4 linked regions of the Diceros bicornis minor genome follow. The protein of the gene in region 1 interacts with the protein of each later gene in a pairwise test. Links are inferred from orthologs where the notes say so. Each region holds a gene or a part of one and is shown in the gene's direction. Other genes may lie near its edges.

What was found.
Region 2: the proteins of SDCBP2 (region 1) and ZCCHC17 interact in binary tests that used the Homo sapiens proteins (3 or more experiments, as listed by UniProt). The two-hybrid records come from large-scale screens. The link is inferred for Diceros bicornis minor from reciprocal best matches to the Homo sapiens genes SDCBP2 and ZCCHC17.
Region 3: the proteins of SDCBP2 (region 1) and SREK1IP1 interact in binary tests that used the Homo sapiens proteins (3 or more experiments, as listed by UniProt). The two-hybrid records come from large-scale screens. The link is inferred for Diceros bicornis minor from reciprocal best matches to the Homo sapiens genes SDCBP2 and SREK1IP1.
Region 4: the proteins of SDCBP2 (region 1) and ZRSR2 interact in binary tests that used the Homo sapiens proteins (3 or more experiments, as listed by UniProt). The two-hybrid records come from large-scale screens. The link is inferred for Diceros bicornis minor from reciprocal best matches to the Homo sapiens genes SDCBP2 and ZRSR2.

What each region holds. Positions count from the first base shown.
Region 1 is NC_080758.1:29,372,498-29,379,478, reverse strand, and holds the start of SDCBP2 (syntenin-2), read left to right. Parts: upstream 1-3,974; 5' UTR 3,975-4,032; intron 4,033-6,981.
Region 2 is NC_080752.1:46,266,081-46,273,135, forward strand, and holds the start of ZCCHC17 (zinc finger CCHC domain-containing protein 17), read left to right. Parts: upstream 1-4,036; 5' UTR 4,037-4,105; intron 4,106-7,055. Other genes in the region: SNRNP40 (U5 small nuclear ribonucleoprotein 40 kDa protein), read right to left, coding at 1,271-1,400, 3,640-3,783.
Region 3 is NC_080759.1:12,124,482-12,131,750, forward strand, and holds the start of SREK1IP1 (protein SREK1IP1), read left to right. Parts: upstream 1-4,250; 5' UTR 4,251-4,397; coding exon 4,398-4,410; intron 4,411-7,269. Other genes in the region: spliceosome-associated protein CWC27 homolog, read right to left, coding at 3,731-3,772. UniProt on the Homo sapiens protein: Possible splicing regulator involved in the control of cellular survival.
Region 4 is NC_080781.1:12,970,309-12,977,433, forward strand, and holds the start of ZRSR2 (U2 small nuclear ribonucleoprotein auxiliary factor 35 kDa subunit-related protein 2), read left to right. Parts: upstream 1-4,124; 5' UTR 4,125-4,139; coding exon 4,140-4,342; intron 4,343-4,486; coding exon 4,487-4,566; intron 4,567-7,125. UniProt on the Homo sapiens protein: Pre-mRNA-binding protein required for splicing of both U2- and U12-type introns. Selectively interacts with the 3'-splice site of U2- and U12-type pre-mRNAs and promotes different steps in U2 and U12 intron splicing.

The sequences.
Region 1 (6,981 bases):
CCAAGGTCACATGGCCTAAAAGTAGGGATTTGAGTCCAGGCAGGCTGGATTCCACAGCCCATGCGATAAGCTGTGCCCCCTTCAGGATATCATCACTTTCGGGTATCCTGAGGACATTAGAGGTGAGGGTCTCCAGCCGGCGTCCATGCTTCCAGTCAAAGGCTGAGGCACTGGGTGGGAATATGTGACGGACAAGTGTGAGGGAGTGGGGGACATCAGCCAGTGATGGGTCTCTGACTCACTAGGGCCCCCAGCTGCCACCTGGGAAATCTATGACTCAGCTGTGGGGATGGGAGACTCCTGGAGTTCAGGTGGCTTCGTTCCGTTCTCAGCACAGGCCTGGCCTTACCACTGGGCTGTGTGGCCTTGGGCAAGGTGCGTCACTCTCTGAATTGTGCTGTGAAGGACAGCTGAGACGGGGTTATGCCCCGTGCCCAGCAGGAGCTCCCCCTGTTGTAATCACTCGGTAGTGTGGAGGCAGCTGTGGTGACGTACCCTGGGTTTTGCCACAGCCAGATTCCACGCAGAGGGTAGGAGTGCACAGCTGGTGCAGCTCCCCACCCAGCAACCATCCCCGCTTCTTCCAGGAAGGGCATCTCCATTTTCACTTGAACAGATGACTTGTGCTTCTGTAACTTGTAGCTGGGCTGATTCCAAGAGGAAGTCAGAAACTTACATCTATTGAGTGCCAGTAGTGTCCCAGGCACTGTACATGATGAAATCATTTAATCGTCAGGACAAGCCTGTAAAGCAGGCTTGTAGATGTGGAAACTGTAGCTCAGACTGATAGCCCAGCCCAGCCCATCTTTTGACCAGGAGTGAGCCTTTCAGTTTATAACTAAGAGTGACTTTTCTTGGAGGGGCATTTATTCATTCAATAAATATTTAATGAGAGCCGACCGTGTGCTAGGCATGGTGCTAGACCTTAGGGATAAGATCCCCACCGACAAGCCCCCACCCTCATGGCGTGCCCACTCCAGATGGCACAGAGGTTTCTCACAGGTCAAATCCAGGTGGCAGCAGCTGCCTGTCACATTATGAGGATTCTGAGCCAGCTCTGGGCTTGGCAGGGTGCTGTCAGGGAGTTTCTGCGTGTATGCTGCATGTTGGATACCCGTGTTTTAGACTTTTGAAGACTACTCATACAAATGCATATAACAAAGCAGAAATACATCCTGGTCAGAGCACAAGTTCCAATTTTTATTTTGAAAATAGCCACTGTAGATCTAATTAGTAGGCCCTGCCCTCAAGGAACTTAGGGTCTAATTGGTAGCCTAAGGTCCACAGGAACAGGACAGCCTGACCCAGAGCTCAGAGCTGGGGCAGGCCACACAGATGCGGATGATCAGGGAGGCTTCCTGGAAGAGGAGCTCAGTGGACTTGGCTAGGTGGAGTGGGGGCAGGGGGAAGGCATTTCAGGAGAAAGCAGCAGCACAGGCAAAGGTACGGAAGTGTGAAGTGGGTGTGAGGTGGAGGTGGGAGAAGAGAGGATTCTGGCCTGGCTGGGGTAAGGTGTTGGGGGAATGAAGGTGAAAAGGTAATAACAGGGGTGGACCACGGAGGCCTCAGTGTCAGGCCTGACCCTGCCCCTCCCCCTCCACCCCCTTTCACTTGGGAACCACGGAAGACTCCGAGCAAGGGCATACCCAATGAGATATTTCTTGGTGCCTGGAATAAGGGGAGAAGTTAGAAATGGGAGGTGGCTATAACACCATGGAATGAAAAAGGGCCCCTGCACGCAGGTGGGGGTTAGGGGACCTGGCTTCCAGTCCCTCGTCTATGCTGACGTGCTGTGTGGCCACAGGCAAGGCCCTTACCCTTCTGGGCTGGTCTCCTTCTCGGTCTTCTCTTAACGGCCCTTTCAGACCATGACTGAGTGAACTCAGGTGTGTGTGTGGGGGGTCACTTGGCTCAGTTAGGGTCTCCATTTTCTACTTTTCTTTGGCCTTGAAGACCTGGACTAAGGCGAGTCCACCTATGGTTTACCTCAAGCTTCAGGCTCCTGTGGCTCAGCCCTAGGCTGTGTCCACGCCTGAGCTTCCAGAAGCATTTGTCTCACAGAAGAGAAAACATGACCTTGGAGCCACTTTCTGGCTGTGTACTTTGAGATGGACTTGGCCTCTCTACTTACCTCACAGGCATGATACACACCATGGAGATAGTGCCTTTAAAGCTGCCGGGCACACAGGCAGCACCTCTGCGCTCAGCGGGCAGTAAGTGCTCAACTGGTGGCGACTGCCTTTCTTGCTGTTGCTCCTATCGGGGCTCCTGTGTGGGACTCTCGGCTGTAAACTTCTCAGAGGCTGGCAGTGTCTCCTCCATGGGGCTGAACACCAGCTGGGCCCCCAGGCAGGATCTGACACCCAAGGCTAGTGCACCTCTGCCCAGCTAGTCACGAGGACTGTGACGTGAGTCTGCCTGGCCTGGTGAGCAGCCCCACCCTGGGTGGGGGCCCTGCGTCATTCCTCATGGGACTGCCCAGCACATGGGTCCCAGGCCCTCCCCAGGCACCATGTGTGACAGGCACCTCTGTCCAACCAAACCCACCAGGACCTAAACTAAATTCCTCCCCCTTTTCTGTTTAATTTTATATGGTTCTTTTTGGGATAGGTAATACATTCAAATATTTCAAACTTTAAAAGGCACCAAAAAGTGTGCTATAAAAATAAACCCCCTCCCAACTCAGCACACAGCCCCCTTAGTTCCCCTTTCTGGAGACAACCAATCTAAATTCCTTTTTTTTTTTTTTTTTTTTAAAGATTTTATTTATTCATTTTTTTCCCCCCAAAGCCCCAGTAGATAGTTGTATGCCATAGGTTCACATCCTTCTAGTTGTTGTACGTGGGACTCGGCCTCGGGTTGGACAGAGAAGTAGTGCCTTGGGGCGTGCCCGGGATCCGAACCCGGGCCGACAGCATCAGAGCGCGCGCACTTAACCGCCAAGCCACGGAGCCGGCCCTAAATTCCTTTTTTTTTATGGTGAGGAAGATTGTCCCTGAGCTAACATCTGTGCCAATCTTCCTCCATTTTGCACATGGGACACTGCCACAGCATGGCTTGATGAAGCCGTGTGTATGTCCACGCCTAGGATCCAAACCCTGCGAACCCCAGGCTGCTGAAGCGGGGTGCACGAACTCAACCACTACGCCACAGGGCCAGCCCCCTAAATTCCTCTTTAAAACAATTAAACTTAATTTGCTGCTCCTCCCTTAAAAAAATCGTAAGTATTCAAAGCAAAAACTAACTTCAAAACAAAACAAAACAAAATCCCACCACCTTGGAATCTACACAAAAGTACAAACCAAAAATCACACCCACAATCCCACCACCATCCAGATTTTCTGCACTTTAGTATATTTCCTTCCAGACTGTTTTCAGTACTCATCCACTTTTCAAAAACGAAAACCAAACCCAAAATCAGAACCGCAATTCTGATTTTTCAATATCTTGCAGTATCTCAGGAACATTTCCTCATGGTGTGTTTCCTTAAGCGACTTTAACAGCTTGGTGAACTTCCATAGAAACTGGCTTATTGGGCCAGACCCTAGTGATGGGCATTTGGGATTTCCAGATTCCCCTATTATAAGCCACACAGCGATGGGCCCTCATTGCCTACTTGTTTATTTTCTTGTAACAAGTTCCTAGAAGCAGCAATACTGGGTCACAAGGTTTGGCCATTTTTTAAGACCCTGGATACCCATCAAACTCCCCTCACATTCAGCAGGACCAGGTGTCCAATCCAAATCCACTTTCCTCAAGGCCAAGTCTTGTTCACACCCCTCCCAGCAGCAGCTGTGTGTGCCCCCAACCCACCTCCACTTCTAGAGTAAGGCCAAAGTCCTCCTCCAGGCCTGGCCACCTGCCTTGTTTACCTGGCCCATCCCAGTCCCAGGTGAGTCAGCTGAGCAGGGTAGGCGCCACCCTTCCCAGAGCAGGAACTCAGCTGGGACAAGGGCCACCACTTTCCAGGGAGAGGAACAGACACTCTGGGCAGTGGCGGGAGAAGGACGTGCAGCAGCAGCTGGCCTGCAGGTAAGAGCTGGGCTGGGCCCGTCGTGGCTGGGACAGGGAGAAGCGAGACTTGCTCTTACCTGCCTCATTCCCACCCTGGCCCGCCCCTTCTGGGACTTCCAGGCAGTTTCTTCTCAAGGTGCTTCACTCTGGGAGGGAAGTATGACTGGGGTCTCCTCTTCTGACTCCAGCCCTGGGCCAGGAGTGAGGGCTGAGTGACCTTTATCCAAACATCACGAGGGCCCCGGCTCCTTCTGACTGCGTATGACAGTGCTCAAGGAGGTCGGACCCCCACTTTGCTCCTTGAAGTAGGCCTTGGAAGGCCAGGCAAAGAGCCAATCCTCAGCTTCTGTTACTCACTTCTTTGCCTGAAGCCATTTCTACCAACAACGTCCTACCATGGCAGGGAAAATCTGCTGGGGAACTGGGCCGGTGGCCTGACCTCTCTGAGAACTGGTTTCCTCATTTGGAGACTGGAAATATCCCCACGCAATCAGAACTGAATGAGATAATGACCTAAGACATCAATATGTGCCCTCCACACAGCAGTTTCAGAATATGGTGCTTAAAATGAGGCTGCTGTGTGCCAGGCCGGCACCACACTGGCTGCTTCCCACCCAGTGGCCCAAACTAGTAACAATTCTAACACCACCATGGCTTCTCACCTAGGCTCCCTGCGTCCACCCTTGCCCCTCTAGTCTGCTCTCCAAACATCAGCAGAGGGGGCCTGTTAAAATGGAAGTTGGACCACGCCACCCTGCTGCTCAAAATTCTCCAGTGGCTCACATCTCACTAGAGTAAATGCCAAGTCCTCACCATGCCCCAAAGCCCCTACAGGATCGGGCCCTCACACCACTTCTCCCACCTCCTCTCCGGCTACTCCCCTCTGAACACTGACTTAGTCTCACTGGTCACAACAGGCACTCCCACCACAGGGCGGCCACAGCGGCTAAGCCCCAGCCTGAATGCTCTTCCCTACCACTTTACTCAAAAGTCACTCTCCACCCACCTTCCCCGCCAACAGTGAGACTCTTCTGGACCTCCTGACAGTCTCTATCCCCCATCCTGCTCTATCTTTCTCCCCATCACTTCCCACCATCTAACACAGCATACCCACTTATTTATCTACCTAGAAAGTGACACTCCGCAAGGACAGATTTTTCTTTTGTTCACTGCCTTATTACTGGTACCTAGAACAGTACTGGGACTTGGACACTCAGTACATGTACTGAATAAATGAACAATAGCTAACGATTACTGCATGCCCTTTACGTGCTAGGTACTGTGCTGGGTGCTTTCCAAACACATCTGACCTCTTTTTAAGAATCTTTTAATCTCCACAGTAACTCTGTGATGCAAGTATTGTTACCCATATCACAAAGGAAGAAATGACACTCAAAAGGGACTTGTCCATGCTTGCTCTCCCGTCAGAGGCAGCAGTCTGAACGCGGTACTGCCTGCCTCCAACATCCTTGCTCCTGCCCTGGCCCTCCTGGGCCTGGACTGGGAGCCTCTGCATTCCTTGAAGTCCACAGCTCTTCTCCAGCAGGCAGTACAGCCCTGGGGGGAGGGGGTACATGCTGGTGGCCTAGCAGCAGCCTCTTCCTTCCCACCCCTCCATACCCCGGGGCTAATGTGGCCTTCTAGGAGCTACTCCTCTGACACTCTAACCCATGCCTCCCTCCTGCACAGTCTCCTGAAGGATGGATGAGGTGTCCACAGCAACAAGTGGGAGTCCCAGAGTTTCAGCTCTCTGGAACAAAGTGTTCTGAAGGAGTGTTCTTATTCCAAAGATGGGGGCTGCCAGCCCCTGCTGATCTCTGAGGACCCGACTGCTGCTTTGTTGTGGGTGTTGGTTGTTATTGCTTATAATACCAAAGAGTACAGAAGCTCAGGGATGGAAATTCTGCAAAGCACAGCGGGAGAGGAAAATGCCTCTGGGATAGATGGGTTAGATGGCTTCTTTTCCTTTCAGAGGAGCCAATTAATTGCCAGAAGCCAACAGCACTGAAATTGAGCAAACTCTTCCACTGTCAGATTGTAGGAGCCAACCTTTCAATCTACCTCATTGGGGCAGTGGTTTTTCTCTTTCTAGGCCCAGGGTTTTCCTTTAAAGGACTTTTTTGGGCTTTCCTCTGCCCTCTGTGTCTGCTTTTGCACTCCTTTAAGAAACAGGGGCCGGCCTCGTGGCTTAGCGGTTAAGTGCGTGTGCTCCATACTGGCGGCCCGGGTTTGGATCCGGGGCGCACACCGACGCACCGCTTGTCCGGCCATGCTGAGGCGGCGTCCCACATACAGCAACTAGAAGGATGTGCAACTATGACATACAACTGTCTACTGGGGCTTTGGGGAGAAAAAGAGGAAAAAAAGGAGGACTGGCAATAGATGTTAGCTCAGGGCTGATCTTCCTCACCAAAAAAAAAAGAAACAATAACGCCTGCTGTATGCCAGGCACTGGGTGCAGCACTGGGGATTCAGAAATGAGCCACATTCCTGACCAGAGAGGGAGACAGGCAAGAAATACAACACAGTGGAAATCCAACCCAGGAAATGCAGGGGGCCTTGATCACAGGAGGTGCTTAATAAACATTAGTGGAATGAAGGATCAACAGGTGAATATGAGATTCTGTGGTCTAGAAATGGGAGGCTTGCCTAACTGTGTGTGTGTGGATGTGGGGATTTGGGGGAAAGCTTAGAATTGAAGGAAGAGCAGTTCACCAGATGAACAAGGGGGAAGGAGAGGGCATTCAAGACAGAGGCATCTGCAAAAGCACGTAGGCGTGAACTAGCAGGGTGAGTTCTGGGATCAGCAGTGTGGAATGTATTAAATGCAGCGTGAGTGTGGAAGAGTGAGGAGGTGAGATTGGAGATGGTACCAGGAGTCGGAGATTTGAATGCCAAGTTGAAGTTTGAGATTTATCCTGAGGGCAAGAGCTGGGTATGGCTTCAAGAGCAGGGTAACTCCCAGAC
Region 2 (7,055 bases), on another chromosome or scaffold:
TACTCCCTTGGAACACTACTGGTTCCACCAGCTAGACCAATTCTCCAGACACTAAAACAAAAATAAAACAGTATTTTCACTTTTCATAAAGTTAAAAAAATTTCGTTAATGGATATAATTTTTTAAATCTTAAGTTTTTTTTCTGTAATTTTAAAAACGTTGACACTCACTACTACTTGTCTGCTCTGAGTATATAAGCGGATGGCAAAATGATGGCACTTATGGAAAACCTAGGAAGCTGCAACTGACTTGAAAGTCACATAGCAATGATTTTATACTACATTTACTCATTCCACAGGTACTAAGTACCTATTACGCACCAGGTGCTGGGGTAAAATGAGGTAAACAAATAGACATAGCTCCTATCCTCAGGGAGCCTGGTCTAGCAAACAGTGAAGTTTGGTGAGTATTATTAAGGAGCACCTTCACACAGGAGAAGGTACATATGTAGTTATTTTTCTGCTGATAAAACTGTTTCTAGTTTGTTTGATGAAATTAAGCATATCAGTAATTCAAGGATGTTCTGCAAAGATCCCTAAGCCTTCCAGATACTCGGCCGACCAGTAAATTTAAGGATTACAGAACTAGAACATCTAAATCAAAACACTGAAGACAGATATCATCCACCTTGAGGTACAGAGTTATAAGCAGAGCCAAAGGACTCAATTCATCTCACAATGTGGCAAACGATGCCAGAAGGCAAAAAGTCAGATGTTTCTGTTATCTTCTCTCTTGCTTTTCCTAATGACTCCCCAAACTGATTTTTTCTACCTATTCCTCAAAAACGGGTATTCCCGACTAGTAGCTGAGAATTTGGTAGCAGATCCTAATGATGTATAGGTAGATTATCCAAGCGAGTTGTCACTTTAGGATCCCTTCCTTCCTTCCTATATGCTAAGATTCTGAAAGTGGATCAGGAGGAGAGCCTCATACCTTTGGGAAAAAGTTCTCTATTACTCCCATTAACCTGTTAAACATGGATCTCTTATCTTGCAAAATCAGCTCAAGATTTGCCTCCATGAGGAAGATAGTCTCAAACTACAGCAACTCACCTTCTAACTAGTAACGTAATTCCTTCTGTATTTACCACATGGACCCCCAAGTTCTACACCCAAGATTATTCAGCATTTTCTTGATCCTATTTTAGCATGTTAGCTGTAGTTTGTCATGTGACCAACTCAGACTGATACCTTCTGTGGCACTGAAGGTTTTAAAAATAATCACTATCGGGAAGAGAGCGATCACTCCAGATTCAAAAACTATGCCTTACATATTAGTCGGTCAAATCCTGCAGATGCTAAGGTGGATCCATTGGGGTGAAACTTGCAGCAGTACACTTCCCCTTCATGTCCTGAGAGAAGCATGATTGGGGCTTGAAGGGAGGAACATCTTGGAGGGCCCTACACAAAAGAGAGAGGTACAGGGTAGTCACTGCATACAGACCAAGGAGGCTGCACAATTGTGGAGGCGGGGGTGGGTGGAGGAAAAAGACAAGGGAAACAATGAGTGAACGAATTTCTTCTGATTTAGAGAATGACAGCTCTTCTCACATAACTTACACCTCCAATTTGATACTCTCCTGCTGAGGTTTCCAGGGTCTACCTGTTATACTAACACTCCTCCTTCCTCACTCTGCTCCTGTCCCATAGCCAACTTTTAATTGCTCAAACATGTTAAGCTCATTTCTGCCTCAGGATCTTTACACTTTTGTTGCCCCTGACAGGAATCCTCTTCCCCTAGATCTTCCTGTGTTTGGCTCCTTTCAAATGTTTCCTCTTCAGAAAGTCTTTCCTGGATCATTCAAACTCAAGCAGTGCCCCACTGCCCCTCTAGTCCATGAACCCTACTGTATTCCCTCACAGCACTTATTACTACCTGAAATTACCCTCCTTATGTATTTGTTTACATATTTTGTCTTTATTCCCTACTAGAAAAGAAGCTCTGTGAGTGCAGGGCCCCTGCCTGGGTCATTCAACACTGTTTTCCCAGTCTCTAGTTCAATTAAAGAATGAATGATTGAACTGAGCTTCCCAACAACCCTGCAAGGTACAGATTATTGGGGAAAGTAGTTTTGATTATGGTCTCAACATAAGCCTACTCTTGGGCAATTCACCGAAACCTGGGCTGATATTCTTACTTGTCAGTGGAAGAATAAGTACACTATCAATAATCCCCAAATCTCTTCAGTAATTTCCAGCTTACTCATTTATTAAGAAAAATACTACGTGCCAAGCACTGTTCTAGGCACTGGGAAAACAGCAGTGAACAAAATAAACAATGGAGTTTGTGTTCTAGTGGGAAGGAGGGAGGGACAGAGAGAACAACTAGAACCTACAGATGGTGGTACAACAGAAAAAGCAGCAATGTGGGTTAGTGAGTACTAGGTATTGCAATTTAAAATACGCTGGTAAGGACAGTCCTCACTGAAAGAGGGATATGTGAGCAAAAATTTGGAGATGTGTGTAAACCATGCACACATTTGGAAGAAGAGTATTCAAGTAGAGGGAGCAGCAAATGCAAAGGCTGTGAGGCAGGAGCACGGAAGCCAGTGTCACTGGAGCAGGGTGAGCAATGGAAAATTGGTAGATCAGAGACGTAAAGGCAAAGCCGGCAAAAGACTGTAAGGATTCTAGTTGTACTCGGAGTGAAGTGGAAAGCCACTGAAAGTTTTCAGCAGAGAGTAACATGATCTGCCAGTTTAGAAGAACTCCTCTGGCTGCTGGATTGAGAATAGACTGATTACATAATAGCAGAAACAGGAATACCAGTTAGGACTCTACAGCAATAATCAGATAACAACATAATAGTATATAATAATAATAATGAGATAATAATAGCTTAGACCACAAGTTAGTGATGGAGGCCACAGCAATTCTGTATATATTTTGAGGACAACACCAAACAGGATTTGCCGACCGGCTGGTTGAGGAGTTGAGAGAGGGGGGACACACATGTATTTCTTCATCCGAGCCTAACAGCACGGAAGGAAAGATGTGATCATTATCTCTAACCTACAAGAAATGCAGTTAAGCGCATGGATTCTGGGCTTAAAATCTGTTTCTATCACTTACTAGATAAGAGTTTGTTTTCCCAGCTACAAAATGGGATAATAATGGTTCCTAACTCTTAAGCTGTTACCAAGGTTAAAGGAGTTTTCACATATAAAGCACTTGGTACAAGGGCTCAATGAAGGTTAGCTATTATTCAGTTGTTAATACTAGTGCACAGAAATAAAGGGAAAAGCAACTTGCCCAAAGTCCCAAAGCGATCCAGTATCACTCATTTCCTTCTTTCCTTCCTTCCTCCATCCATTCTACAAACTTTTCTGAATGTTTACGCCGGATCCTGGAAGATTTAGGATGCTAACGCCGGTTTTGAGCTCAAGATCCTTAACTCTAATTCTAACGCCACCTCACAGGGCGGTCGAGACGCCGAAAACCGGCGTCAAACGGGGAAACGTGAGGAGCATCTGCAGGGTGTCGGCCGCTTTTACAACGTTTTCGGCTTTAACTCCAGATACCGAGTCTCCTTCCGCCCCCACAGCGCGGAGAAAGGGCCGCCGCGAGATCACCCGGCGCAACGCTCCGAGGAGAGAGAAGGATGAGCCGAGGGCGGAAGGCCGCCTGCCACTTCACTCACCGCTTGCAACAAAGCTCCGGGCGCCGCCTGCTGCTGCCCCGCTCCGGGGCCCGACCCCGCGGCTCCCAACAGCAACTCATGCCGCTGCCGCTTGACCGGGACCAGCGGCAACTCTGGACCCTTGCGCTTCTGCTGTTCTATCATGGCGGCAACCGCTCTCCTTAGCGCAGCCACTGACCGCGCCGACACCCTCAGGCACCGCGCGATTGGCTCCGACTTAGTCCTTCCCCTAGAACTTCCGGCTTGGAGGAACCAATCGACTTCCAATATTCCCCTCTGCACCGCCCCCTGGATAGTCTCCTGTTATTGGTTAGCTGTCTCTGATGTCACGAGAGTACGATTCCAGGATTGGTGGATGGAACTGCAGTCCCGCCTAGGCGCGCTGTGTCTTGTGGGTGGAACCGCGCTGACTGGGTTGCGGCGTTTCGCGCAATGCTGCGGCCGGGGGACCTGCAGCTGACGGAGAGTAAGTAGGAGGAATGTCGGGGTGGGTGGCTGCGGAATCTGGAGGCGGCGCCTCGGTGATATGGTCTGAGCCTGCCCATTCTCAGCTGAAGTTTTGATTGCGAGGGGCGGAGGCGGGCCCCAAGGTCCTGGCTCTGGGGGGTAGTAGCCTGGTTTCCTTTCTGTGCTGGAGCAGAGCCTTGGGGGTCGCTGCGGCTGCCTGGGCACCTCGACGCCGGACTCCTTCAGCAGGCGGCTACTGTGTCCAGTCCGGTGCCGGAGGCCCCCGGGGAGAAACGGCCTGGATCCTCTCTGAGTGAGGAGGCCGACTTGTTTCTGCCACTGATTCTGCAGCCTCTCCTAGGGCCTGCTCTGTGTCCCTGAGAGAGACAGGGACGGAGGAAAAGTCCGACTCTTGCTTCTCCAGAGCAGTCTTGTTGAGAAATTTGGACTTATACCTGTGAAATAGATCTTCTCCTTAATCGTCCAATTGATATTTATTTGGCAAAGCATTGAGGATATGTGATCCCTGACTTCAGCGGTTCGAGTCTGGTGGGGAAAACAGATGTTAAACAATGATCTCCCTGAGAAATGTGAAATAAGTGCCGTCTAGGAGAGGTGCCTGAGGTTATGAGGGCCTGAAATAAGCAGAAAGGCTTGTCTGAGGAGAAGATGCCTGAACTGATGCCTGAAGAAAGAATTCTAATTAGTTGGGTGAAGAGAGGAAGGCAGAATATTCCATATAGAACAGCATGTGCAGAGGCCCTGTGGCAAATGGGAGGAAAATGCCTCAAAGGCACAAAGAGGCCAGTGTGGCCAGTGCAAAGAGAATGAAGGGAAGTATGGTCCAAGATGAAGCTGGAGGCCGGTAGAGGGCAGACCTTGCAGGACTTTGTAGCTTTTATTTGAAGACTGATGGGAAACCACTGAGGGTAGTTTTTTGAGGGGGAGGGAGTGTGTGGAGGAGGTAACTTAATCCCTCAGGCTCAGTAGTGTGAACAGATCTGAAGAGAGATAGATGCAGATAGACCCTTTAAGTGAGCGTTGTTGGCGGTGTAGACTGAAGTATTGGTGAAACTGCAGAGAATTGGACAGATTCTAGAGATATATGGGAGGTAGGGTCAGTAGGACTTGGCGATGGCTTGGATTCAGGGAGTGAAAAGAGAGGAATCACAGATAACTCTTAGGTTTTTGGCTTATGCAACAGAGTATTTATTTCATTGGTAGAGAAGGGAGAGGTCATTCATGACTTCAGGAGGCAATTTGAAATATGGCTTTGCAACTCAGAAGAGAGATTTTTGTTGGAGATATATATTTGGGAGTAATTTGCATATAGGTGATAATTGAGCGATAGGTGTGGGTAAGATCCCCTAAGTCAGAAGCTTGAGTAGTTCCAGCATTTAATGTCCAAGAACAGGAGGATGAACCTACAGGAGAAGAAGAGAAAAAAGAGCTAGAGAGGAGCACCAGAGGAATGTTGTCTCAGAAACAAGGAAATGGCCAGTGTCAGAAACTGGAATTTAAAAAACACGAGAATTGAAGAATGTGTGTTGGCTGTATCATCGTGGAGCTCATGGTATCCTTAGCGAGAGTTATTTTGTTGGTGTGATGGGGCCAGAAGCCAAAGATTCAGGCAAGGGATCGGAGGCAGTGAATCTAAAGAGTGTTTTTCATACATATGATTGTAAATGAGAGGAGAGGATGTGGAAGCCGAAGGAGATGAGGGGTCACCAGGAATCCACTTGAGAGGGCGATGGAGAAATTGAATACACAAGAGACAAATTCGGTCATTGATAGTGTTCTGAGAACATGGGAATGGATGGGATGCAAAGTACAGTTAGAGGGAGCAGCCTTGGGAAGATGGACAGTCCTCCATTTAACAGAAAGGAAGAAGGAAGTGAAGGCAGTAGATATAGGTTGTTCTTATGTTTGGTTTTGGTAAAATGAGTTCCTTTCTCATGGTTTTTATTTTCTCTGTAAAGTAGGAGATAGGATCATATACTTAGAGTGAGAGGAAGTCAGAGATTTGAGAAGGTTGCAGAAGATTTGAAAATCATTGTAGAGTGTGTGGGAGAATGGGTTTACCAGAGAGATGTAGAATTGTCGTGCAGAGTTATGGGCCCATATGAAGTTGGGGATCATATTTTATTTCCAGCAACATCAGGCTCAATGCAGACATGGAGAAAACATATGCAGATATGGCAAGGACCGTGGGTTTGGCTTGCTCAACACACATTCCCACCTTTAATGTGCCTTCTCTTACAGAAAAGTCTGGGGTGCTAAAAACTATTTCCTGGCTCCTTTGCACCTAAGATGAGAATTGAATTTGGAACTGAGTTAAATGTGGAGAGAAGGAGTGTGAGAGGCATCCAGTTTTGCTGGCAAATATTATGGTAGAGGCAGTGAGTTTCTTTAGTCAGCAGCTTTCTGGTTTAGTGACTTTCTGCAATGATAGCCATAACTTTCTTGATTGTGACAAAGACTGTGTTATTTTTTGGGTTAGGAGTTGTTCCTGGAAGTTCTACCAGAACTTCCTATAGCCCTTCCAGTAGTTTTGTAAGCCGATACCTGGCAATAAATCCTTTTCTGCTTAACCTAGCTAGAATGGGTCCTGGTGTCTGCAGCTGGTGGGGGTACTGCCAGATAGGTGAGCCGTAATGACAGAGAGTTAGGGGGAACTCAGGGTGTTGTTTGAATGATAGACTGTGGAATCTAAGCTGGAAAGAGAGAAAAGTTGAGGTAAAAGGAGAGGGCTGATGGATTAGAAGAAAATAGAAGTCAATAGATCAGGGTTCTAATGAGGTCAAAGAACAGTATTCTCTGCCAGAGGACTTCCATTTATCCTTAAAGGCCCACTCAGTTGTTACCTTTTAAACTTCCCTGCTTCCCCTAGGCCCTTCTTTTCCTCTTGTTTTCTTAGTACTTTGAACCTAGCTGCTGTTTTAGCACTGATCATACTGCATTGTAATTGG
Region 3 (7,269 bases), on another chromosome or scaffold:
CTATTAACAAAGAAGAGAAGGGAGGTAAGGACTTAGAGCACACATTCCCAAAATATGTATATTTAAATACACGTGGTACTATATTACTTTAATATTATATTATAAAAGATCACACAAAATAAAAATTTTAAAGGATTACATAAAAACACTATTTTAAAATAATTCTATTTTCTTTACTAACAGTACAATGAACTTTTTTTATAACAGCTTTATTGAGATATAATTCACATACCAAACAATTTACCCTTTTAAAGTGGTTTTTAATATAATCCAGAGAGTTATGTAACCACCACCACCATCTAATTCCAGAACATTTCATCATCCCAAAAAGAAACCCTGTACCTATTGGCAGCCACTCCCTATTTCCTCCTACTCTTATTCCCTGGCAACCACTAATCTACTTTCTGTCTCTATGGATTTGCCCACTGAACATTTCATAAAAATGAAATCATACAACGTGTAGCCTTTTGTGGCTGGCTTCTTTCACTTAGCATAATGTTGCTTTCAAATTGTAGTGGTCCATCTTCCTGTTCTATACACTTAGTTTCTAAATGTCTTGAAAATCACAATGGCTTTATATTCTTACTGATAAATATGTTAAAGCACAATATACATTTAAGACAATGTTCACCATTAACAATAATAAATAGAAATCCATATTTCAAAAGATTTACATAACAATTTCTAATTTTTGACAGACTTCTCATGCTGAGGCATTAGCTCTACCATTTTCTTATGGTTTGCTTTTATTTACATTATTATCTTCAATACGAAACTTGTGAGGGCTGGTTTAGTTAATCTAGATACCAAGAAATGTAAATCCACTTAGCAAAGAATTAGGAAAAAATACTTCATGATATATAAAAAGTGATTGAACGAGTAACTGAATTTATATGTTCCTTTTTACGTATAAAATATTGCATTTAAACAAATAAAGGAGAAAATAAATACAAACAGAAGTAACTGAATTTATATGTTCCTTTTTACGTATAAAATATTGCACTTAAACAAATAAAGGAGAAAATAAATACAAACAGAAGTAAGTAGATTTTCTGCCTGCACTCCATGGATGGTTTTGCAGCCCTCTTAAGTGTGCACTCACTCATTTAGAAACCACTGTCCTAAAGAACAATCTACTGCACATCAGCCCTCCCTCTTCAGATTCTGGAGTCAGGCTGCCCAAAATCAAATACTGACCATTCCACTTACGAAGGTAAGATTAGCTTCGTTACCTTGGGTGTGATATCTAACATTTCTGTGACTCAACTTCCTTATCTAAAAACAGGCATAAGCATATTCTCATAGGTTTGTTGCAAGGCCAAAATGAGTTATTATATATATGTAGACCACTTAGAACAGTACCTGACAAATAGGAAATGCTCAAAAAATGGTAGCTAGTATTGTTGTAATTATTATTCTCATACAATGTTTTTGGCCACAGCAAACTTACATCCAGTAAAAAGAATGCATACATGGTTGGGCCACCTTGTTTACCAGGGTTTCTTAATCTTTCCACCAAGAAGCTACTGAATTAAAAAAGAAGGCACACAGCTCCCTCCTTTCACCATCACTACTTTGTCAGGCGTCGGTGGCTCCTTTTCTTAGAGCTCCCAAATAAGACAATACTTTGATAATAAAATGCTTCTTAAGAATAAACACATGTTAATATATAATTTAGATTAAATGATCATAATATGTGGAGATTTCATCTCCAGTGGATAAGGAAATTTCTATCAAGTGGTATATTTCTGTGCCTCATCTTCAGAGGCCAGAGTTATAGCATTACAGCAAAACACAGCACATTTATGGACAATTGCCAGGGGTCAACCACTGGTATAATACGTCAATTACTTCCCAAGTTGACACTATACTCTTTGAAGGGAGGAATTTTGTCCCATTTATTCTGAATATCTCTGTATCCTTTCAGTACCTAACGTAGCATTAGACACCACAGGTACTAAACTAACATTCATTGAGCAAGCTTATTATATCTGTATTAAATTCATTCCAGGCCAAAATTCTTGCCATACTCTCTATAGTACAGAACTTTGAAGCTTCAATGTCTTCAATCACCCCTCAGCTGGAAAAAAGTCCCAAACTGTGCTTGAAGGAAAATTTGGCCTATGTTCTCCTTCAGCCCAATTCTGTTTAGAAGAAAGACTGTATTGATCACAGTTTGCACAGACTTATTTGCATGATTATTCGGTCAATGTATACTTCACTCAACTGACTCCATGATAATAGAGACAATGCTGGTTTTTCTTTCCATTGTATCCCTAAAACCTAGCATAGATCCACATGAGCTAGGCGCTCAATAAATACTTGTTGAATGAAAGATCTCCTGTTCAGGCATGTATCTTTGTTAAAGCTTTTTATCTTTATGACCACCTCAAATCTTCCTCCAGAGTAAAGCAACTAAGTCTGCCCTTGACCAGCAGCAGTATAACCCCAAAGTCACTGATGTTTAATACTTCTCAAAAGTTAAGAGAAACATAGTATTAATTCATCCATTCATCCATTCATCCAGTACATATCTGAACTCCTTCTACTATGTATCAAGCACCCTTCTAGATGCTGGTCTCTGCCCTCACAGTACTTGCATTTTATGGGGGCAGGTGGAGGAGACAATAAACAATCAATAATAAGTACTGCAGAAAAAAACTAAAAGGGTTTAGGGAGCCAGGGAATGCTGGGATGCAGGAGATGAATGAGGTTTGCTATTTCATAGAAAGTAGATAGAAAAGGCCAGGGCCGGCCCCATGGCTTAGCAGTTAAGTGCGTGAGCTCTGCTGCTGGCAGCCGGAGTTTGGATCCGGGCGCGCGCCGCTTGTCAGGCCATGCTGCGAAGGCATCCCACATAAAGTGGAGGAAGATGGGCACGGATGTTAGCTCAGGGCCAGTCTTCCTCAGCAAAAAGCAGAGGATTGGCATGGATGTTAGCTCAGGGCTGATCTTCCTCACAAAAAAAAAAAAAAAAAGAATTCAGGTGATATTCCTTCCACTACTTAGTTCTCTGCCTCATACTGCATATAAAACACCTGGGATGGGAATTGACATAGCTTGACTGTCAAATCAATCAGGAAATCATTCTAATGTGGGAACATTTCCCATTCCCCATTTTCTCTAACAATCATCTCATGTTTTAAGACCAGCTCAAAAGATACCTCCTCCATGAAGTTTTCCCTACTTTCCCAGCTGCTCACTTCTCCGTAATAGCACAGCAATGTGCTCCTCTCTCCATAAGCACACCTACCAGACATATCCTAAGGCTTTTCTTTACCTGCCTGCCTCCCAACTAAACCATAAGCTCTTCTAGGGCAACAACTAGACCTTATCCATCTATATTTGTATCCCCAGAACCTAATAAGTGCCCGGTGCCTAGCTGGCGTTCAATAAACGGAGAAAGAGCCATCTCTAAGTTATGCGAAAAATGTCAAATTTTAATTTGTACTTAGGTTTTTACCTAAGACTCTAGAAAACACCTGCATGAGTTAGGTTAAAGCAAGAAATAGGGCCAGAAGGCTGGTAGATGGAGAAATCAATCTTCCCTTGAGGACTTTTTCAAGTATATGCTGAGAAGTGCCAATAGATGGTTTCCAGGCAATCCTGTTCAGAGGCAGGGGTAAAAACAAGACTTCTTGTGATCTCTCACAACCCTAAGATCCCAGGACTCCCTTCGTCAGTGAGGTATCACTTTGGGGAGCCCAGGTATCCCAGACGAGGCTCTCACCTTCCCGTTGGTGGGAGGCTCCTGGATGTAGATGTTGCTCATGCTGGTCAGTCCTCAAGACTCTGCTCTCAATTGGGGATGAGAGCGGACGGCCGATCACTAAAGCTGTCCACCTATTAGTACAGGCTTCCTTAAGTCGGGTGGTCGCGGAAAGCTCCAGTCTGTCAATATCCTGCAAGACAGCGACGCCAAACGCTATCTTTTCCCTAAGCTAGCTCCTCACGGGCGCCGCCATGTTGTTCCCGGACCCGAGCACCGCTAACCCTGAGAAGGGGGATTCTGATAGCCTCCAAGAAAGGAGAAAAGATTATTAAGCCGCTGTAGATTAATTTAATTTCTATTACAATTTTAAAAAGAACGATCCGTTAAGTCTTGGTGTTGTTTACTTCACTACATGCGTGTGCAGGTCTCATTCACCTCCCGAAGCTGGCAGTAATGGTTCGGACCGTGAGTGAGCTGCAATATGCGTCCCCCGGAAGCTGGATCAGTGGTTACTTGGTTCCGCTATCGCCAGAGAATTATAGGGGCCCCCCCCCGAACTGTCATCTAGGAGCCGCGGCGCGGGTGGGAGGAAGAGGCCGCCCTAGCTGTGCGTTGTCCTCACGGCCGGCGGGAAGCGAGCGCGCTCTCGAAATCCTAGGGCTCCTGCGACCCCTTTCACAGCGCCATGGCAGTCCCAGGTGACGAGCAACGGCAGGCCCCGGGGTCTGGGCGAGGAAGGGAGAGGGCAGGGTAGGTTGGGGCGCGCTGGACCAGGGAGTGGCGCCCATGGGGATTTAAGCGGAGGCGTTAAAATTAACAGGTTCGTGTGGTTTACGTGAAAAAGTTTACACTCCGGAAATAAACGCGGAAGGAAAGAAAGAAACGATCTCCCCTGCGCCAGCCAAGCTCCAGTTGCGCTGGATGGCTTACGGGGCCGGTGCGTCGTGGCGGAGGGAGGGTGGCATGGGGAGGAGAGGGGGACGGTAACCGTAGGCCCAGGGGCCGGTGGCTGAGAAAGACCGACCCCAGCGGCCAGAGGCATTGTTTGTAGTGCAAGTCGCAGGGACGAGATGGGCGCCTGGGGTTCTTCTCTCTCTGCTTGTTGCATTCAGTTGCTGTGTGGCCGTGGGCCGGTCGCTTTGCCCTTCTTGGCCTCAGTGTCTGCATCTGTAAACGGAGATTTGTTGATTTATGTCTCTGGTTCCTTCCAGCTCTCAGATTCTGGGTCCAGTCGGTACTGACTTAAAAACAGTGAACCCTGCGAAATAAGTGCCTGAGAGATTTCCCGTCCACAGCAACCGGCTTACTTGGAAGTTCTAGAAGGGGAGGGCATCTCCTTAAACCAGCTTTGCCGCGATGTGTTCTGCAGAACACTGGTTGCAGGAGATAGTTTGAGAAATATACACCCCCCTCATTTACTGCCCCCCCAATCTTGTTTTAACCTGCCCTTCCCGGTATTATTTGAGCATGTTTGTTCTGTGGCAGCCTTTTCTGAACCGTATTTTACAGATAGCTGTTATGGGAGGGTTGTGCTTTTCTACCAACTGCAGTTTGGGGAGGAGCACGGGGGTGGGGGGGAATTGTGAGAGAGGAAAGACACACTCATTCATACACATAACAATCTGTGTTAAGTGCCTACTGTGTGCTAGGCATTGGGAATACAGTGGTGAGCAAGACACTTGCTCTTCACAGAGAATTTACAATTTGGCTGTAAGGAGAAAGTACTAGAAAGTCAGACAAGTGTATGGTAGGGAAAATACAAAGCTTTCAGGAGCACATAGTAAGAGCATCTAACAGGAGACAGGGAGTGCACAGAAGGACTTTCCAAAGGATGTGGCATTTAGGATGAGACTTGAAGAATGCAGGAGGGGTGGAGTGGTAGGAGGGGAAGTTGCAGCCAGAGGGACTAGATACATAAAGGAAGAAGAAATGTGTGAGAAGAGGAAATGAAGATGTTCCTATGCATGGAACTCAGAGTACAAATGGGAGAGAAGTGAGACATTAACTAGAGAGATGATAACAGTAGCTAATATTTACTAAACATTTACTATGTGTCAGATCTGTCAGATACTGTGTCATGCATTGTATTTCATCTAGTTTAATATGCACACCCACACTGTGAGATAGATATTAATATTTCCATCTTACAGTGAGGATACTGAGCCTCAGAGAAATCAAGTAACTTGCCTATTGATACAGCTAGTAAGTAACAGATCAGTCTGGCTCCTCTAGACCCCACGTGCTTATCCATTTTGCCCTGTTATAGTGTCATTTACATGGTAGTTTCCAGCTCTTAATGGACCTTGTAAGCCATAACAAAGAGTTTGGTCATTTTCCTAAGGACCAGGGGAAGTCATTTAAGGTTTTTAAACAGATTCACATTTTGGAAAGATCATTCTGGCTGCACAGTAGGTTGGAGGGGAGCTAGTTTGGATGCACAGTCACCAGTTAGGAGTAATTCTGGTAAGTTACAATGATACCTCAGGTACAGTCTTAGGAAGAAAGAAGCAGATAGACTGGAGATATATTTTTGGTGGTAGAATCACTAGGAATCGGTGGTGATGTAGTCAATGTAGGTGAGTACTAGAGGAATGAGGTATTACCTGGGTTTCATTGTTAGGCAATTAGGTGGGGCTATTTACTAACATAGGCAACACCTGAGAAAGAGCAGGTTTCGGCATGATGATGATTTCAGTTTGCGCCTTGTGTTGAGGTATAGTCAGACATACTAATGGAAATATCTAATAGACAATAAGGGATAAAATTTGTAGCTTAGGAAAGAAGCCCGAGTCAAAGAACAATTTGGTGTCATCCACACATATAATAGGAGTTAAGTCCATGGGAGTGGATGCCTTTGCTCAGGTAGAGTGTGTAGAGGGTGAAGGGAAGGTCTGTGGCTGAAGCCTGGAGAATATCAACATGGAAACGGCCAGCAGGGAAAGGCCAGTCTGCACAGTAGATTGCCAGATCAGCCCTGGTGATCTTTGCCTCACACAGCTGCGTCCGAAGTTGACCTGCTGTCACTGTTGGTTTCATGACTTAAGCATTTTGAGCACCTACATGGTATAGGCACTTTCGGGGACACAATGTCATGGTCTGTGCCCTCATAAAACTTGTCTGCTAATGAAAATGTGCTGCTTAAGAAAAAGGACAAAAGTGATTTTTTTGTCCTTATTGAAATTCCCTTAAACTTAGACCAGTGTTATAGTTATGTTAACTTTCTTTCAATTCAAAATAATGCTTCAAAGTATAATAATATTAAATTGTGCCATTAAGCTAGATGGCCAGACATAGATAAACTGTTTAAACCCAGCAAAAATTGAGATAATAGGTATGACAGCGCTGTAAAAGTACAATGCGAGTGCCATTAGAAAATATAGATATGGAAAATATCAAGACAATTTCTTGAGTGATCGATCCAGACAGTGTATTAAAGGAAAATGGGGCTCCATCAGAAACATTTTGAGATAATCATCAAAAAGGACAAGTATTATGTTATGCTCTTTTATTTTTAGGTATAATGCTCATATGGATTCATCATGGCATTTTGTGGGTGG
Region 4 (7,125 bases), on another chromosome or scaffold:
TGTAAGATGTCTGTAAAATTAATGAGACATCCTTTAACATGTAGATCAGAAAGTGACTAAAAAACTCCTAAGGGATTTATTAGAGAAACAGGAATGGAAAGAACCACCCGCTCCTCCTTAGCTCTCCCTTCTGTCAAACCAGTGCACAATCGATCTGCTAACATCACCGATAGGGCAAGCTGCCAGCCCCTTTCTCCTTTGCCAGGGCTACATGGGTCAGGGTAAAGGTGGCTATTCTAAAACCAGGCATCTGCCTCAAAAAACGTTTAGGAAGATGTCTTTTCCTTGCTCACTAGGGGACAATTCTTTTGGCATGATATTAGCAAAAATACAGTATTGTAATTACTTTAGGTATTTTTCTGCATCACTAGAAGAATCAACATCATTTACTTGATGTTTATTCTGCTTAATGTTTTATTGTCTTTTTAATCCAACTTTGTTGGTTAAGTTCTTTCATGTAAAATTTTATTGATCAAAAATGGATATAGTTCATTTAAGCAAATAAGCTCTAATTTTACCATATAATTAGTACATATAAACAATACTGGCTACTTAACATGTAAATAGTAATGCATTCATGTTATTAGGAACTGAATGTTTGGTCCCTCCACAATTCATACGTTGAAACCTAACCCCCAATGTGATGGTATTAGGAGGTGGGGCCTTTTGGGAGGTGATTAGGTCATGAGGGTGGAGCCCTCATGATGGGGTTAGTGCTCTTTAAAAGAGACCCTGGAGAGCTCTCTCACCCCTTCTCCCATACGAGGTCACAGAGAGAAGACAGCCTTCTAGGAACCAGTAAGGAGGTACTCACCAGACATCGAATCTGCCGGCATCTTGATCTTGGACTTCTCAGCCTCTAGAACTGTGAGAAATAAATTGCTGTTGTTTATAAGCCACCCAGTCTATGGTATATTGTAATGGCAGGACTATGACACTTGTCCCTATGTATATTTTGTTTCCTGCTTTTTGAATTCAACCACTCTTTAAAATTGGTACTTTGGTTTGGGTTCTGGGTGGGGATATGGACTCTGCCACCATTTCTTCTCAAACCACCAGCAGTTGTGTTGCTTTGAGCTTATCACTAGACAAAAGAATCAAGTAATAAGAACTATCACTGGATAGTTCTTTCCTCCAAAGAAAACTTTTAATCAGTTGTACAAATATAGATTTGCATGCATTTTTCACATTAATATGCATTCATAAGTATTTTATCTTTCTATTTTAAGTTATAATCTGGAAAATATATAAAGCCCTTGGCATAGCAATGAGGGTTGGAAAGGACTTGAGACCTCACTTTATGTCCTTGAATAAATCTAGTGACTAATACTGAAATTAATGGTAGGCAAGAAATGAAATGTTCTTTCCTGAGAATTTCTGCGTCGACTATTTAATGAATCCTAGTACCATTGTCCCACTTGAGCAAGAAAAAAACAAATTAATTGAAAGAGTCCCAACCTGGCATTCAGAGAGTAGATTTTTTTTTCTTGGTCTCCCTTTATGCTTGCAATAAATGAAAAATACATTTATGGATTATTCTTTGATCATTTTATAACAATTTAGACATCTTTAGTGATAGTATCTGTTACATCATTTATATAAGTAAAATATTTTCTTTAACTTTTTAAAGATAATCAGCTATTTTCTACTGACAATGTAAAAAAAATTTAGTCATTTTCCCATAGAGGGGGGATGAACTGAAATACACATACCTAAGAATAAGTAGATGTTGTATTTCAAGCACCAAGAAAAATAGAAAATATATGTTATGTTGCAGAATAAAGATAACTTTGTTCTATTTATCAGAATATCATAGTAGAATGTATCTTTGCATTAAATTTTTACATACCTTATTTTTATCTTGTGATTTATCAAATTCAAATGATGGTAACTCTAGTTTGGAAATGGAATTGGCTTTTAGAGTAACTTCTGTAATGAAATTAACTTGAGCAACTCAAGCTTGTTCATGAAACTGAATTCAGTGGTTAACTGTTGAAGATAAATGCCTAACTCCTATAAAAGGAGATTTACATTCATTTCTAAATGATAATAAAATCTAAGTCTGTATCCTTTTTTAATTAGGAGTATCTTCCCAGAAGATGTTCTTACTTACTGTTCTGATATGAAGGTCTGGTCTAATTCATAAGAAATGTTACAGCAACCCAGACACTGACGCTTTCAGAATAGCAGTAATTCTCAGCATAAGTCCTGGTCACAGGAACTAGCAAAATTGGTGATTTGCACAGCTACATTTTGTGCTACTTGAGGCTTTCTCTAGTTAGGGGCTATAAGTGTCAAGTCTCCACCTTCAAGGAGTTTTAAGATTTAGTGCAAGAAGCAGATTTGTGTAGACAACAAAGTACAATATAGTATGATAGGTGTTATAAAAGGTGAGATACTTGTGCTGGAGCACATGCAGGACAGGTACCTAATCCACACTTCAGGGGGTCAGGAAGTTTTCACACCTATGATGATGATGATGTTCTAACAGCTAATGTTTTGGGGACACTAACTATTGCCAGGCACACAAGATAATAACTATTATTATTATCTTGATTTTTACAGATGAGAAATCTGAGGATTAGACATTGAGGAATTTACTCAAGATCAGAGAGTCAAGGCTTGAGTTTCTAGTCCATCCACCTCCAAAGTCTATGTTCCTAATTACTGATGCACTGAGCGGGACGAGGTCAACTTGGAGGTGTGTTACTGCAAGTGTCTTTATAAGAGGCAGTAGGGTAAGGCTTTATGCAGTGTTTGGGCTTCTGCTGAATGATTCCAAGGAGGGACTAGGGGAAGCAGGGGCAGTTTAGTAATTGGGTGTCTCAGTAATTTTGATTTGGAGGAGAGAGGAACAAAGCTAGGCTAGGGAAGTTATCCAGTCACTCAAAAGACCGGGGTTAATCATTTTGCAGATGCAACTTGTCCATGGGAGAAACATTTTTTCTTGGTCTGTCCCTGGCCTTGTGCATGTACATCGCAGTCTAATTATTAGCAGGGCTGATTTTACCTTCTCAGTACCTACTCTCAATGCCTCAGTTTAATTCCTTGTCACCTCTCACCTAGATTGTGATATTCCAGCTTTATCCTTTATATTGCAAACCAGAATAATTTACCTAAACCACAAATATAACCAGAACAAGCCTCAATGTAAAAACTTTCAATGGTTCCCTGTTGCCTACAGAACGTAATTAAAGCTTCTTAGCATGACATACTAGGCCCCCCTATTCCCAGCCCACCTCTACCTCTATATTCCTTGATACTTTCGAATTGCCTTTTAAATTCGATGGCCAAATTCTTGCGGTTCTGGCAGATTCCAGTTTCACCTCTCAGTGCCTTTGCTTATGCAGATTTACCTGCAATTCAATTCCCACCCTTCTCCACCTGGGTAAACGCCATCTGTCTTCAAAACTCAAACTCAGACATCAGAAAGCTCTTCCTGAATCCCCAGGTGGACTATGTTAAGTAAACGTAGTTGCCTGTACCATATTATCTAATCTATGTAATGGTCCTTCTCGGCCTCTAGATTGTAAATTCCTTGGGAGCAGAGGTTGCACCTTTGCAACCCTAGGAGTTAGGTTCGCCTACAGAGCCGGCAGGTGTGAATGGAAGGAGGCGGAACCTGGATAAGTCCGACTGGGAACCCAGGGTTGCGGCTGTATGTGGGACGAGGCTTCGAGAGCGGATGAAGGGAAAAGAGTGAGAAGTGTGACTTGAACCTCCTGTCCACAAGACGCCTATGGTGTGGGGAGAGGTAGTGATAAAGCACTGGGGAAACGCTAGGACGGTAGAATCACTTCCAGGGCGCGGCAGGAGCCCCAGAGGAGTTTTCGGGAAGGAGACATTTATTTGTGCAGGGTTTTGGAAGACAAGCCACCTACAGGAACCTCCCGTCTTCCGTCTTTGGTCCGCCCGGAGAGAAGCACGCTCCCCGCCGGCGAGAGGCCGCGCGGCACCTGCGCGTGCGCGCCACCGCGCGCTCTCTTAAGCCCGCCTCTTCCGTTTGGCTCCTGGGGGGCGTGGCGGCGCTGGCAAGATGGCTGCGCCCGAGGAGATGATGTTTCCGGGGAAACCGAGGTAAGCTGGGTTGGGGGAGATGAGCTGGCGGGAAGAGGGGACGGAGCGGGCCGAGGCTGGGCATGGAGGATGTGCAGGCAGGAAGGAAAGAGGAGCTGGGCCAAGCAAGCGAGCTACCGCAGCAGCTCGAGCCCTTCCAGGAGTGCGCCCCAGACTGTCACGGGCGTCCGTGGGCTCAGGGAGGCGAGCAGGGAAACAGGTGGCGGGATGGTGAAGACCTGCGGTCTGTCTGGGCGTGGAAGGGCGAGGCGGTGGTAAATGCATGGTCTGTAATTAAAACACGGGAAGCGAGATTTTACTCCTGAGTACCCGGGCGATTTCCTGTCAGTGGGTGCGGAGGAGAGGGGAGCTGAGGCACCGCTGCAGGTGCGACCACTGACGCTCGAGTGTGCCTGTCTCGTTTTTCCAGCCACAAAAAGTACAGGGCCGCCCTGAAGAAGGAGAAACGAAAGAAACGTCGGCAGGAACTCGCTCGATTGAGAGACTCAGGTAACGAACTCATTCTGTTTTCTGTGTATGAAATTGCTCTCCCCACTCCCTTCGTAACTCGAGGCCCCAGTGTCAGAAAGAAGCCAAGTACTGTATCAGATAAAGAATTGTGGCTACTGCCTCCCAAGTGAAATTATGTTAGACCCACATCAGAAACAATGTTAACATACTAAAGAAGGGGAAACAGTCATGGTAAATCATCACCCGCTGATGGTGTGTAAGTATTTATAAAGTATCTAATATTACAGGTGCAGGCATCATGAATTACAGCAGCTAGCACAGCCCTTGCACATAGTAAGTATTTGGTGAATATTTTTCTTTGTATAACCAGCGGGAGTCACGAGTTTCAGACATTTTGCAAGTTTTTCTCGAACTTGAATAATATAAGAAACCCTTTGTTGACTCAAATTATTAATGTTATTTAAATATATATAAGCATAAAACTAGTTATGAAACTGTTATTTGTCTATGAAACAATATATTTACAAGTTACAAAACCAAGTAAAGTTACACATCCAGTAAAATTCAAATCTACATTAATGTAATGTTAGGGACGATGGGAAACATGCTCACAGCATGAATATGATACTGACTGGAGTTTGGAATGCCACTACTACTGTTGCCCTGTGGTTATTTACTACCTATTTTTTCTGTTAAAATACTGTGGAACCTTCATCTGTACTGGCCATGGTATCATCTGGCCTTCACATGGGAGAATCTAACATTTATATCAAACCTACCTGTTTAAATATAATGAAGTTAGTACTGCTAACTTAGTTATAAAATTATATAGTAGTTGTAAATGCAGATGGAAGCACTGAAATCACACAGGCATACTGGCTTATAATGGTTGCCATCCAGATTACCCAGAATATGCTTATTAAATTATCCTAGACAGTTCTTGAAGTCCATAGACCATGGCCTCGAGTAACCAGGAACCTCAGGCCTTTAGAAACATAGCCATAGAGGTTTTATTTACCATTAGAGTTGCCGAGTAATTATTTTAGTAGCAGTACTTGGACTATTTAGAATGGAAGGAGCAGTGTGTTTACCTGCAACCTGTGTTAGCACCTCTTCTTCGTTCGTTCAAAACTGGTCCACTAGAGGCAAGATAAAGCATCAGGGATAAAAGGGGGAAAAAAAGCAAGTTGCAAAACTATAGCAGGATTCCATGTATAGTTACATGTGTGATACATGTATAGATACATTGTACTTATATGTATCCTTGCATATATTTGATTGTAGGTGTAGAGAAAATGCTACATCCAGAACTGTTAGTGATCACCTCTGCAGAATGTGTGAGCTTGGTTTGAGGGAGGATGAGGGGTTGAGTGAGTCAGGCAACAGATATTTTTGAGTATCAGCTGTGTGCAGGCAGTGTCCAATCTATGGGCATAGCTCTGTAAGTCAGTCAGTCATAGCCTCTGTGCCAGATTCCCTGGAAGGCTCTTTACGAACATTAGATCATTTAATTATCTGAATAATTAGGTATTGTTCTAGGTGAGTTAGAACTTAAATTTTTTTTTTTTACCTATTTTTCTTTTAATTTCAGGTGCTGAAATAATAAAGTTTACTTGCTTAATAAAAGTAAATTATTGTAATTATCTAGGACTGGTATTGATTAGACTTATACTCAATATATGTGATAGACACAAAATCTTTTTCCTTCAAGCCTGAGATCTGTTACATTTCCTTAAGATCACTTCAGTTTCCCTCCTTTTCTTTTCAAATTTAAATTCTGAATAGGAGGAGATCTAAGTTGTTATTATATTAAATTATTTTCCCATGTTTTTATTTTGAAAATGTCCCAAAGTACAGAAATTTGAAAAAACAGTACATTCAACATCCATGAACCCTTTACCTAGATTGCCAATTGTAACATTTTGCCTTACTGTCTCTCTCTACATATAGATAGATATATGTGTACAAATTTTTCTGAACCCTTTGCATGTCAGTTGCAGATATCATGACCCCTCATCCCTAAGTACTTTAGCTTGCATCTCCCAAGAATAAGGACCACAATACCAAACTTGCACCCAAGTAAAGGAACAGTAATTCGATGGTATGATATACGAGCCATATTTGAACTTTCCCAAACCAAGATTGATTATTTTAAAAAGCTCAAGCCAGTTGTCTCGTGGAATGCCTTGCATTCTGGAGTAGTCTGTCTTCTGATTAGCTTCAGGTTACACTCTTTATGGCAAAATACCACAAAGCTGATGCTGTATACCTCTCATTGCATACATCAGGGGGCCTGTAATGGCGGGTTGTTCCACTCCTAGTGATGCTCAGTGTGGTCAAAGTGTTGCCAATCATAGTGCTCCATTGTAAAGGATGTTGCCCGCTTTGTAATTAGTACTCATCTGTGGGCTGATATTTTGAGATGGTATAAATAAGTATCCTCTTTCCAACAAGCTTTCATCCAATGTTTTTAGCAACTTTGTCTAAATTCGTTCTTACAGTGGGGTTGCAAATGTAATGACTTTTCTACTTAAGTTTTGCTACATATTTTAGTTGCCATTCTTCTGTAAGGATGGATGTTCCCTCCCACACCCCCAC